Oryctolagus cuniculus: one gene and its partners. The protein of the gene in region 2 interacts with the protein of the main gene of each other region in a biochemical or structural test. Links are inferred from orthologs where the notes say so. Each region holds a gene or a part of one and is shown on either strand. Other genes may lie near its edges.

The links.
Region 1: the proteins of SP1 (region 2) and cyclin-A2 form a complex in vitro, tested with the Homo sapiens proteins (2 studies listed by BioGRID). The link is inferred for Oryctolagus cuniculus from reciprocal best matches to the Homo sapiens genes SP1 and CCNA2.
Region 3: the proteins of SP1 (region 2) and DDX5 form a complex in vitro, tested with the Homo sapiens proteins (2 studies listed by BioGRID). The link is inferred for Oryctolagus cuniculus from reciprocal best matches to the Homo sapiens genes SP1 and DDX5.

What each region holds. Positions count from the first base shown.
Region 1 is NC_091435.1:65,355,115-65,359,162, reverse strand, and holds cyclin-A2, read left to right. Parts: upstream 1-1,500; coding exon 1,501-2,358; 3' UTR 2,359-3,538; downstream 3,539-4,048. UniProt on the Homo sapiens protein: Cyclin which controls both the G1/S and the G2/M transition phases of the cell cycle. Functions through the formation of specific serine/threonine protein kinase holoenzyme complexes with the cyclin-dependent protein kinases CDK1 or CDK2.
Region 2 is NC_091442.1:56,373,476-56,377,774, forward strand, and holds the start of SP1 (transcription factor Sp1), read left to right. Parts: upstream 1-1,490; 5' UTR 1,491-1,905; coding exon 1,906-2,235; intron 2,236-2,560; coding exon 2,561-4,076; intron 4,077-4,299. UniProt on the Homo sapiens protein: Transcription factor that can activate or repress transcription in response to physiological and pathological stimuli.
Region 3 is NC_091448.1:14,226,008-14,229,990, reverse strand, and holds the start of DDX5 (probable ATP-dependent RNA helicase DDX5), read right to left. Parts: upstream 2,811-3,983; 5' UTR 2,409-2,810; intron 2,118-2,408; 5' UTR 1,983-2,117; coding exon 1,939-1,982; intron 827-1,938; coding exon 661-826; intron 431-660; coding exon 334-430; intron 238-333; coding exon 104-237; intron 1-103. Other genes in the region: CEP95 (centrosomal protein of 95 kDa), read left to right, coding at 2,880-3,051. UniProt on the Homo sapiens protein: Involved in the alternative regulation of pre-mRNA splicing; its RNA helicase activity is necessary for increasing tau exon 10 inclusion and occurs in a RBM4-dependent manner. Binds to the tau pre-mRNA in the stem-loop region downstream of exon 10.

The sequences.
Region 1 (4,048 bases), on a different chromosome or scaffold from region 2:
TACTAGACTTGCCCATGTGCTCCCCTTGACTCTCAGTCCTTTCATTATGATCAATTGTGAACTGAAATTGATCACCTGGAATAGCGAGATGGCATTGGCACATGCCACCTTGATGGGATTGAATTGGAATCCCCTGGTATGACATGGAGATTTTGAGGTGCCCCTCTCCTTCCCTGCTGGATGGATGTCCGAGAAGACCAAATACAGAGTTACGACTTCAGCTAATCTTAAAAGTAACAAGGCAAACCATCCCCTGAAAGTGTCAGAGAAGCCACATGGGGATCAGTAATGAGGCAATTCTTCCACATCCAGCCTGAGTAGTATTAGTAGGTACATAGTGGAGAGTCTTGTCTTCTACTACTGCCCCACACTTATAAAGAGTACCCCTTCCCCAGTGTCAATGGAGGCCAAGCTGCTGATAATAAGATGATGTCCTTTCCCCATTGGAGTAGCGTCATAGGATCCTGCCATATCAAATATTTAAATGAGATCAAATGTCTCACAATATTAATCACTAATATATCAAGAATTTAATTTTAATAATCACTTATGTTAAAAGGAAAACTAGGCTATTCTCAATTAGAGTGAGAAAACATGATCTAAAGATGTTGACACTCAGGGTTGTCTAACAAGGATTTTGTAGACTCTACAATAAAAATACTTCCACAATAATCATGAATATACTTGGAACAAATATAAAAAACATAAAGTTTTAGCCAAAGAAAAGAATATATAAAGAAGAAAATATATTTTGAAATAAAATATTCAATAACTAATATTTTGAAAACTCCATGAATGGGCTCAACAGTGGAATGGGAGAGAAAGAGGAAGCAATAGTGAATTGGATTTTTTTTTGCCCTCCGCGCCCGGCAGCGTTTGCCTGCGCCTCTCGCAACCTCCTCGATCCTGCGCGTTCCGGAGACAGGGGAGCGAGCGGGAGGGCTGGCAGACTGGCCCGGGCTGCGGCGAGGGGCTACGGCTGGAGCGTTCCTGGGCGGGATCGGCGCCGCTGGTCGACTGGGCGGAGTGTGCACGCTGCTTGGCTCGGCAGACTGATCCCGCCGCCAGCTCCCTGGAGCAACGATGTTGGGCCACAACGTGCCGAAGCCCGCGGCCGGCGAGGCGGGCTCGGCGCTCCTAGAGGACCAGGAGAACATCAACCCCGAGAAGGCGGTGCACGCCCAGCAGCCGCGGGCCCAGGCTGCTCTGGTGGTACTGAAGGCTGGGAACTCCCGGGGTCCAGTTCCACAACAGAGGCCCACGACGCGACGGGTTGCACCTCTTAAGGATCTTCCTATAAATGATGAGCAGGTCTCTGTTCCTCCTTGGAAAGCAAACAGTAAACAGCCTGCATTCACCATTCATGTGGATGAAGCAGAAGAGGAGCCTCCCAAGAGGCCCACGGAATCTAAAAAAGACAAGCCTGAAGATGTCCTGGCTTTTAATTCAGCCATCACTTTACCTGGACAAAGAAAACCACTGGTACCTCTTGATTAGCCAATGGATGGTAGTTTCGAGTCACCATATACTATGGACATGTCAATTGTATTAGAAGATGAAAAGCCAGTGAGTGTTAATGAAGTCCCAGACTACCATGAGGATATTCACACATATCTTAGGGAAATGGAGGTTAAATGTAAACCTAAAGTGGGTTACATGAAGAAACAGCCTGACATCACTAACAGTATGAGGGCTATCCTCGTGGACTGGTTAGTTGAAGTAGGAGAGGAATATAAACTACAGAATGAGACTCTGCATTTGGCGGTGAACTACATCGATAGGTTTCTTTCTTCAATGTCTGTGTTGAGAGGAAAGCTTCAGCTTGTGGGCACTGCTGCTATGCTGCTAGCCTCAAAATTTGAAGAAATATACCCACCAGAAGTAGCAGAGTTTGTATACATTACAGATGATACCTATACAAAGAAACAAGTTCTGAGAATGGAGCATCTAGTTTTGAAAGTCCTTGCTTTTGACTTAGCTGCACCAACGGTAAATCAGTTTCTTACCCAATACTTTCTACATCAGCAGCCTGCAAACTGCAAAGTCGAAAGTTTAGCAATGTTTTTGGGAGAATTAAGTTTGATAGATGCTGACCCATACCTAAAGTATCTGCCATCAGTTATTGCTGGAGCAGCATTTCATTTAGCACTCTACACAGTCACGGGACAAAGCTGGCCTGAATCATTAGTACGAAAGACTGGATACACTCTGGAGACTCTTAAGCCTTGTCTCATGGACCTTCACCAGACCTACCTCAAAGCACCACAGCATGCACAACAATCAATAAGAGAAAAGTACAAAAATTCAAAGTATCATGGTGTTTCCCTCCTCAACCCACCAGAGACACTAAATGTCTAACAGTGAAAGACTGCATTTGTTTCTAAGATGTAAATCACTCAAAGTATATTGTGTACAGTTTTTATCTTGGGTTTTGAATGTTACAATCATTTCTGAATACAGAAGTTATGGACAAGAACAAATTATGGTATCTATTACTTTTTAAATGGTTTTAATTTGTATATCTTTTGTACATGTATCTATCATAGATATTTGGCTAATTTTAAGTGGTTTTGTTAAAAGTATTAATGATGCCAGCTGTCAGGATATTAAGAATTAATAAATTGATTTGGAAAATTTTATAAGTCAAATTTAATTTGAGATAAAAACCTGACTTCAAGATTTCTTAGAAAAGTTACCTGGCTTATACAGTACAGTGGGGAGTGGAAAGCCACTCTCTAAAAAGTTGACTTTAGGAAAACAGACCCTCAATGTTCTAATATCCATTTTCCTAAGCAACTGGATCAGTCTGCCGATTTCTGCACAATAAATCTGTGCTTATTTACCAGTACGATGAAAATCATTCTTCTTTGTACACACACAGCAGCCTATCAGATTATTTTATTCCTCATCAATTTTTACACTTTACACATACACAGGTTGGGGAATAAGGCTTTGAGATGACAAAATTTTCAGAGAAAAAGCTCTAGAACATTCACTTTAATGTTAAAAAAATAAAACTTAGGGATTTGTGAATAAATGATACCCAGGTTGTTAGCACTGAATAAATACATCTAATAGTTATATATACAAATATACAACTATGTTAGCTTTAATTAGCAGCTCTCTTCTTTTTTCTCTTTTTCATTGGCTTTTTACTTGGTGCTTTTTCTTGTTTCCCAATGGTGGTCTGTGTTCTGCGGATAAAGTAAAATAAATTAACAGTTCACTTAATTATGCTTAAGTTTTGGATCACTGAAATAGGAGGTCTTTTATTTTTTTGCACTAGGGTACAAAATGTGACAGCAGGAAAAGTAAATACAGTAACCCTGAAAGGTATCCAAAAATAGTTTAATAGAGAGTTAGGTGCTAATTTTTATTAATTACAGGGTGAAAAAAACACATAATAGCTGATGAAAAAGGGATGTCTGTGTATAACAGTTCTGTAAGATGAGAGTCAAACCAGAGAGCAAGCCTCAAACTCTTAAGTTACATGTACATGTTTGAAATAAACCAAAAACTTGTTACCTTAAAAAAAAAATAGTGAATTGGAAAACAAATCAATAGAAAAATTACCTACATGGAACTAGCATTGTGGCACAACATATTAAGCGACAACTTACAATGCTAGCATCTCATATCAAAGTGTAGGTTCAAGTTCCAGCTGCTGTTCTTCCAATCCAGCTCCCTGTTAATGTTCCTAGGAATGCAGTGGATGATGACCCAAGGACTTAGGTACCTGCCACCCATTGGAAAACATGATGAATTCCTGGCTCCTGGCTTTGCCCTAGCCCAACTCTGAATATTTTGACCATTTGATGAATAAACTAGTGGATGAAAGATCCCTATATATATTTCTTGCTCTTGCTGTGTGTGTGGGTGTGTGTGTGTGTGTAGATCTGAGAGAGAGAGAGACACAGAGAGAGGGAGACTCACTCTCTCTGTCACTCTGCCAATAGAATAAATAAATGAATAAATATTTTAGGAAAAAAAAGAACCAATTTTAACAAAAATATAAAAGAAAAAATAATAGGAAAATTTGAAACCATAG
Region 2 (4,299 bases):
GGCGTGAGAGGCACTTTTCCCTCCTCCTTATTCCACCCCCATATATGAAAACCAAAACGAGCCCCCGCGGGCGAGGCACAACTACGCGCCGAGTGTCCTGGTTCTGCCACTTGTTGAGCTGCAGGGCTCTGCTGACGCGTACCACCTAATCACCGTAAAGACGTCCCCAGAGGAGGGCCAACATGGCGACGGACTTCTCTTGGCACAGCCCAGTTCCCTCCCTCATGATGGGAGGCCCAAATAACACCCATTGCCCAATTTGGAGGCGGTGCCAGACTCACCTCGCTCCCTCATTGGCCTGAGTAACTGAGGGAGAAGCCAATTCACCTCTGCCCACTCTAAGTTCCCGCCTACAGAGCCCACTCGGAATTTAATTGGTTTTTAGTTCACGTCAATATGCGTCCTCTTCCGTCTCTTTTCAGCATTTACCCAATCATAACTTTCCTGGCTGCCCGCCTGATTTCTGATTGGCTATGATCAGCTTCAGCCCAGCCCATTCCGGGCTATTTCTTACCTCTCCTCCCACCAGGACTTTGCCCAGGCACGTCCCGGATTGTGGTTGGTCATTGATGTGTCATTTCTATCGAAGCTCTTCCTATCGCTACCTCTCAGGGATCCCGCCTGCTGGCTGACTGGCTTATTTCCAAGCCTATCATCTCTAGCGCCCGCCTACCTTCACTTCCTGCATTCTTCATTGGCCTTGAAAATTGAGGGGGCGGCCTTTTTGGGCGGATACCAGGCATTCAACTTTGTCTTACACGCCTCAGGGAGCGAGTGAGTATTGTCATTGGATAGCCTGCCCGCCTTTCTTCTCCAAGTCCCTCCTTTCCCCCTCCCTCATTGGGCGGGGCAGCACTGAAGGGGCGGGGCCCAGGCTGGGCTTGCGGCGCGCTGCTCCCTCCTCCTTACCCCCCCCCTCCCTGTCCGGTCCGGGTTCGCTTGCCTCGTCAGCGTCCGCGTTTTTCCCGGCCCCCCCCAACCCCCCCGGACAGGACCCCCTTGAGCTCGTCCCTCAGCTGCCACCATGAGCGGTAAGGATGAGTCCACTCCACGCTGAGGGGTGGGAGAGGAGTGAGGGGGCGCGCGCGAGGGCAGACCGGGCGGTCCCCGCCGTGAGGGGGGGCGGGCGGGAGGCGGCGGCGGCGGCCTTGGTCCCGCCCGGGGCGGAGGGAAGGGAGGGAGAAGGGGCAGTGGCGGGGCCTCCGAGAAGGAGGGGGATGGGCCGCCCGCCCCGGGGGAGGGGGCAGCGTGGCCTCGCCCGCCCCCTGCCCGCCCCGGCCACGGGGGGGACGGCCTTACCCCCCACAACTCGGCCTCCCGCCTCAGGCTCCTCCCGTCGGGGGGCTGGAGCCGCGGGGGCGGCCCGAGCAGGGCAGGCCCCGCCCGGGCCAACCGCCTCCCTGGTCCGCCCTCCGGTCGCCGCCTGCCCCTAGGCCCTCCTCCCCCCACTTTCCGTAGACCTCCCCTCCCCCCCAGCGTCCCGCCCTTTCCACGCCCCTCACCCCGAAACCGCCCTTTCCCTCCAGGGCCCGCCCTTTCCCCGCCCCGAAACCTTCTGATTGCTCACTCCTGCACCCCTTTATCCCCTTACCTGTGGTCCCCAATGGTTCCCCACTCCCGCTTACCGTTTCTCCTTCCCCCCTTTTCCCCTGTCTCCTCTCGGTGCATTTTGTACTTGGATTTTTTGCCTCCATCGCTCTTGTCCCTAATTTTAGCAAGCTTTCCATCCACCCACATGTTGTTTGGCCTTACCTGTCCTGCTCCTTTCTACCCCCAGGACACGTTTTCTTATTTTGAAACCCTTTGTACGGGCCTGCGTGGCCTATTCCCAGAGCACCTTTTTCTGAGTTTAATTTTTGTGCAAGGAAAACCTGAGGCCAAACTTCGTGGCCGTGAGCCTGGCTCATGACACATGTGCCTTGCAGTTCCCCCCTGCCCCAATGCATTTTCTTTGTACTTCCTGTTAGTCACTGCTGTTTCATCATAGCCTTCTGTAAACTCTCCTGCACTCTATCCACCCCCTCCTCCCCTTCCCCCACGCTAAGTTGTTTTTTCTTTTTCATTCTTTTTTTAGACCAAGATCACTCCATGGATGAAATGACAGCAGTGGTGAAGATTGAAAAGGGAGTTGGTGGCAATAATGGGGGCAATGGCAACGGTGGCGGTGCCTTTTCTCAGGCTCGGAGCAGCAGCACGGGCAGCAGCAGCAGCAGTGGAGGAGGTGGAGGCGGGCAGGTGAGTGACAGCCGGAACTGGGGGCGGGGAGGTGTTGAGAGGATGGTTGTAAATACTCGTAGAAAACTGGCTTACTCTTCCCAGAAGAGTTTTAGGAGAGGATTACATTTTATAGATGGGGAAGCCAGCGCAGAGACTCAAGGAACTTAGATTCGCTAAAGATGGTAGTTTGCAGCAGTACCGATAGGACCTCCTTTCTGTTTTTGGGTTGGTTTTTTCCCCCCCTTTTTAATCTTCATTGTGTTGCTGTTTATTTGTTGTATACTGCCCCCTAGGCTGGTGGCTGGGTGTCACTAACTCCTCTCATCTCCCCCTTTCTGGCCAGGAATCCCAGCCATCCCCTTTGGCTCTGCTGGCAGCAACTTGCAGCAGAATTGAGTCTCCCAATGAGAACAGCAACAACTCCCAGGGCCCCAGCCAGTCAGGGGGCACAGGTGAGCTTGACCTCACCGCCGCACAACTTTCACAGGGTGCCAATGGCTGGCAGATCATCTCCTCCTCCTCTGGGGCTACCCCTACCTCAAAGGAACAGAGTGGCAGCAATACCAATGGCAGCAATGGCAGCGAGTCTTCCAAGAACCGCACCGTCTCTGGTGGGCAATATGTAGTGGCTGCCACCCCCAACTTACAGAACCAGCAAGTTCTGACAGGATTACCTGGAGTGATGCCCAACATTCAGTACCAAGTAATCCCCCAATTCCAGACCGTCGATGGGCAGCAGCTGCAGTTCGCCACCACGGGGGCCCAAGTGCAGCAGGATGGTTCTGGTCAGATACAGATCATACCAGGTGCAAACCAACAGATCATCACAAACCGAGGAAGTGGAGGCAACATCATCGCTGCTATGCCAAACCTGCTTCAACAGGCTGTCCCCCTCCAAGGTCTGGCCAATAATGTGCTCTCAGGACAGACTCAGTATGTGACCAACGTCCCGGTGGCCCTGAACGGGAACATCACCTTGCTACCTGTCAATAGCGTTTCTGCAGCTACCCTGACTCCCAGCTCTCAGGCAGTCACCATCAGCAGCTCGGGGTCCCAGGAGAGTGGCTCACAGCCCGTCACCTCAGGGACGACCACCATCAGTTCCGCCAGTTTGGTGTCATCACAAGCCAGCTCCAGCTCCTTTTTCACCAATGCTAACAGCTACTCCACGACGACTACCACCAGCAACATGGGAATCATGAATTTCACCACCAGCGGATCGTCAGGGACCAACTCTCAAGGTCAGACACCCCAGAGGGTCGGGGGGCTGCAGGGGTCTGATGCGCTGAACATCCAGCAGAACCAGACGTCTGGAGGCTCCCTGCAGGCAAGTCAGCAGAAGGAGGGAGAGCCAAACCAGCAGACACAGCAACAGCCGATTCTGATCCAGCCTCAGCTAGTTCAGGGGGGACAGGCCCTCCAGGCCCTCCAAGCGGCGCCGTTGTCAGGACAGACCTTTACAACCCAGGCCATCTCCCAGGAAACCCTCCAGAACCTCCAGCTGCAGGCTGTTCCAAACTCTGGTCCCATCATCATCCGGACACCAACCGTTGGGCCCAATGGACAGGTCAGTTGGCAGACTCTTCAGCTGCAGAACCTCCAAGTTCAGAACCCACAGGCCCAGACAATCACCTTGGCCCCGATGCAGGGTGTTTCCTTGGGGCAGACCAGCAGCAGCAGCACCACCCTTACACCCATTGCCTCAGCTGCCTCCATCCCTGCCGGCACAGTCACTGTGAATGCTGCTCAACTCTCCTCTATGCCAGGCCTTCAGACCATTAACCTCAGTGCGTTGGGTACGTCAGGAATCCAGGTGCACCAGCTCCCAGGCCTGCCGTTGGCCATAGCAAATGCCCCAGGTGAGTCTTCGAGTCTTTTGGAAGTCTGCATTTATAATGAACTGACTAGCATAGCAGCTGAAACTATGGAGTGGGAAGAAGGGAACAGCACCTTTTGGGCTAACACTTGCCCCAGGGCTGGTCAGTTAGAGAAATAGCAGTGCTTCTTTTGAAATCATGTGGAACTAAATTAACAGAAACTTTTCAGTTAATCTGATGTGAAAGGAGCAATTCTGGGCAATGT
Region 3 (3,983 bases), on a different chromosome or scaffold from region 2:
GGACAAACAGCAGAGACACTATTAAGATACTCTGGCTTTTTTATTCCCATTCCATTTCCTCTAGCATGGATCACCCAGCAACTCAGAGTTCTCCCAAACTTACAGACAATGTTTTCCCAGATCCGGTCTGAGCTACTCCAACCATATCTAATCCACTTAGAGCAACTGGCCATCCCTGAGCTTGAATAGCAGTGGGTTCAGTAAAGTTCTGCCTTGCAATCACGTCCATGACGTTTGCTGTAATTACAGCATTTTAGTAAACACTTGTAATGCCAACAGAAAGGAGGCAACAGGGGGAGAAGGGTGGTAAGCTGACTGAAAACCAGCACTTACCAGGAAAGTTTGCTTCATAGAAATTCAGAACTGGCTTTGGGCAATTGTGACCTCTAACTGTAACTTCCTTGCTTCTTCTGTATGTCTCCACCTCTTGCTGCAAAACAAATCATAACCACTTTAGTAACTCTTGACAGAGTCCCCTAAGCAAACACAGCTAGCAAACTCTGAACCTACAGGTGAAAATTCAAAGCCACCTCCTCCCCAAGCCAAAAAGAACTCCCCAAATTGAAATGTCCGCCAAGACACTTGTTAGATTTTGATTTCCTAGCTTAGTATTACTCAGGTAATACTGAATGATGATCAAAGCCACATGAAATTACTCACGGCTGTGCGTCTAGCCAAATCAGGATGTTCTTGATAAAAATTCTTCTCAAATTTGGGCAGCTCATCAAGATTCCACTTCTTTTTAACTAGTTTCTCTCCAGGGTTTCCAAATTTCTTTCCAGATAGAGGCCCTGCCCTACTTCCTCCAAATCGAGGCGCACCAAACCTGAAATTAAGAATGTTACATTTCTTCACGTCTGTATTTGGCGTTGGACAGATTTTAGCACTCATCAGCTCCAGTAATTATCCCTGAGAGCAGTCAACAGCATCACTTCCCACAGCCGCAACTATCGAGGCCAAGTACACGGCCCGCGATCGATAAGCTCAGAAACGGGCTGACCAAACTGCAGGATTTCAAGCATACAAGGACAGACAAGTCTGCGGCTACTACAGTCTCCGAGCTAGGGAATGCAGCAGCCGGGAGCCGGCCTATACGAGAAGGGTGGTGCCTAAAACAGCGATGCTACTCTAACGACTGTGTTCGAGCAGAGGCGCTTCCGTGTTAAACACGAACGGTAACGAGGCAGCCACAGCAGGGAGAGCGGCACAGGGAAGGTGTTTCTCCAAGGCACGCCGGGAAACCAATCGAGGTGGGGGAACCCGGCGGAAGAGCTCCCGATCAAGGTAGCAAAATTATATAACGCGAGAAGGAGAAGGAGGAGCCGGTGACTACCGGGGGAGGAGTCCGGGCCCGGGCGGAGTCGCCGGGCGGCGTTCCCGCTGGGGCGGCGCTTCCCCCTTTGTCTCGCATTTCTCTCTGCGCCACATTTTCTCGACGCTGCCATTTTGAGCTCCTCCGCCGGGCGGGGTAACAAAGGCGCCGCCGCCATGTCCGAGGCCGGCATTTTGTGCTCGCGGCTCAGCCACATGGCCGATCCCGAGGGCGCCGGCCGGCCGGCCGCTGCCTCCGCACCGAACCCACGGCTTCGGAGCGGCCCCTCTCCCACAGAACTCCCGGCGCCCCGAAAACACCTCCCCGAAGGCCGTACCTAACGGCGGCTCCCCGCTCCGCCCCGAAGCGCCGCGCTCTCCTCACCCCGCAGGGCGTTCCGCCAAATCCCCCAACAGCCGCCAAATGGCCGCTCCCCACCCCCAGACAAAAAGCGGGCTTCGGAACAGCCAAAACGACAAGCCTCTTCGGGTCACTTCGAAGCGAACGCCAAAATGGCGCAAACCTCCGACCGAGGCCCGAGAGGAGCCCGCGAAGGCCGCGTCGCCGCCCGCCGCCGCCCTCCCATCCCCCCTCTCCGGGCCTGACGGGTCCGCTCCCCGACTCACCCTCGATCGCGACCGCGATCCCGGTCGCTCGAGTATCCCGACATGGCGTCAATGGTTGCGGTTGGCGGGGGACGAAGCTAAGAGAAACGGGTGCGACGAGTCGCTGCAAGAGGCTTCGACGGCGGCGAAGCCTCGCGGGGGCGGCAGCGGCGGAGGAACGGCGGTGACGAGAGCCGGAGCTGCACGACCAGAGGCCGGTGGAAATGAATGAGGTGCCGGCCGCGTCCCGGCAGCCGGTTTTATAGTGCGGACCGCCTCCTCCGCCGCGGAGGCTGCTGGGAGCCGATCTGTGACCTCATCGCCCCGCCCCCCGCGCAGGGGGCCGCAACGCCCACCGGCGTTCTGGAATCCGCCCTGGGGTCCCCGCCGCCCCCGCGGCCGCTCCCTCCCGGGGCGCCCGTTTTTCTCCCGAGTCGTGTCCGGGCCCGCCCACCACAGGGATGCTTCAGCATGCATTTCCTTGACTTCACCTTTTTCTCGTCCTTCTACACCTCCAGCAAGCCTCCCCGCCTTCTCCCTGGACCGACAGGCACATAAAATGGCCAGGACAGGCCAGCCCACTCTCTCCACTCAGAGATGTTTACGTCTCCACAGAGCCCTCACACCCATAACCAAATAAGACGGGAAGGCGGAACCTGGCCTCGTCACGTGACAAGCCCCGCCCCCGGTCTGGGGAGGGGTCGGCACTACTTTCCCCCGCGGGAGTCGGCGGAGGAATACCTAACAAAGTAGTTCCCCGGAAGTCCAGTTCTGCCCCCTCCAGGAGACCGGCCGGGACAGCCGGGTGACCTAAACTGCCCGAGAATCCACCGACCCGAGAATCCTTCAGCAGTCTCCTGCCCGTGGAGAACGGTAGCTGCTGTCCGCAAACCGCCGCCGAGGCGCGTGCTGCGACAGGAAGTGGTCCTCCGAGGGCCAATCAGCGGCGAGAAGCCGTTGTAATGTCCCTCCCTCTTCGACCTGAGCCTCCTGCCTGGCGCCTCGGTTCCTACCGGCCCCGCCCACCTCCGGGTCTCGCCGTGCGACCCTTCCCGGACACCGTCGCCCGCGCGTCGGAGGCGCCTCGGACTGCGGCGCCGCCCTTCCTCCGCGACATGGCCGACTCGGGGGCTGGTGAGTCTCGGCCTGGAGGTCCGGTGTGTGTGGACCGAAGCCCCCCAAGTGCCCGAAGGCGTCGGGCCGGTCTCACCGGGGTGTCGGGGGCCGGCGAGGCTTGTGACTGTCAAGACGCCCCGTCGCCGTTGGGGTTGTCCGGGGTAGGGTCTGTCAGCCCCGCCGCCGGCTCGCTCGCGGCCGCGGAGCCGCGCCGTCGGGGCGGGGAGAGACGGACTGTGGCAGCAGTCGTCTTGCCCTGGGCGCCGAGCCCGCAGGCCGTTTGTGTCGGCCTTTGGAGGAATAGCACTTTCAGCCGCTGTGCCCTTGCTAGCTAGGGTTGGACCAGGGCTGCTCTCTTCTCTTCGGTGCCCTCTGGCGTCGCCGGCTTTGTCGGCCACGGTTTTTTGAGACACGAAATGGATTTCGTGGTCTGGGACGCTACAACGTTTTCTCCAGCGTCTACACAAACAAGTTGCCATGGCTTGGACGGTTGTGAGAGAGGGGCGTGGCGGTACGCCGAGGGTACACACCCCAAGTGCCCCCCTCTGTTTCCAGAACTGAGCAAAATGCTCTCCCATTAACCGCCAGTCATTTCAGGGAACGAGTGATTCAGACTTGGTAAACGACTTTTGGTCGAGCAGCTTTCCTGATCGCAGCAGTATTTGGCGGAGGGGAGCGTGGTAGCGTGCTAGTTCGCAGTGTAGGGGTGTTTCCATGTCTGCCCCGTGCGTTCCTGCGGGTACATTAGATGGAATAAAGGAAAGCTGTTCTTAACAGGCTGAGTTAATCACCACCTGTTTGGGCGCCGGCGAAATCCCGACAGGCGCAAGGTGATTTGGTAAAAACATGATGATTACTACTGGGAATTAGAAGCGGCTCTCATTAGTTTCTAGTGACTTCAGATGCTCATTACCTAGCTGTCTTGTTTATGACAGATGCTCTCCTTAACT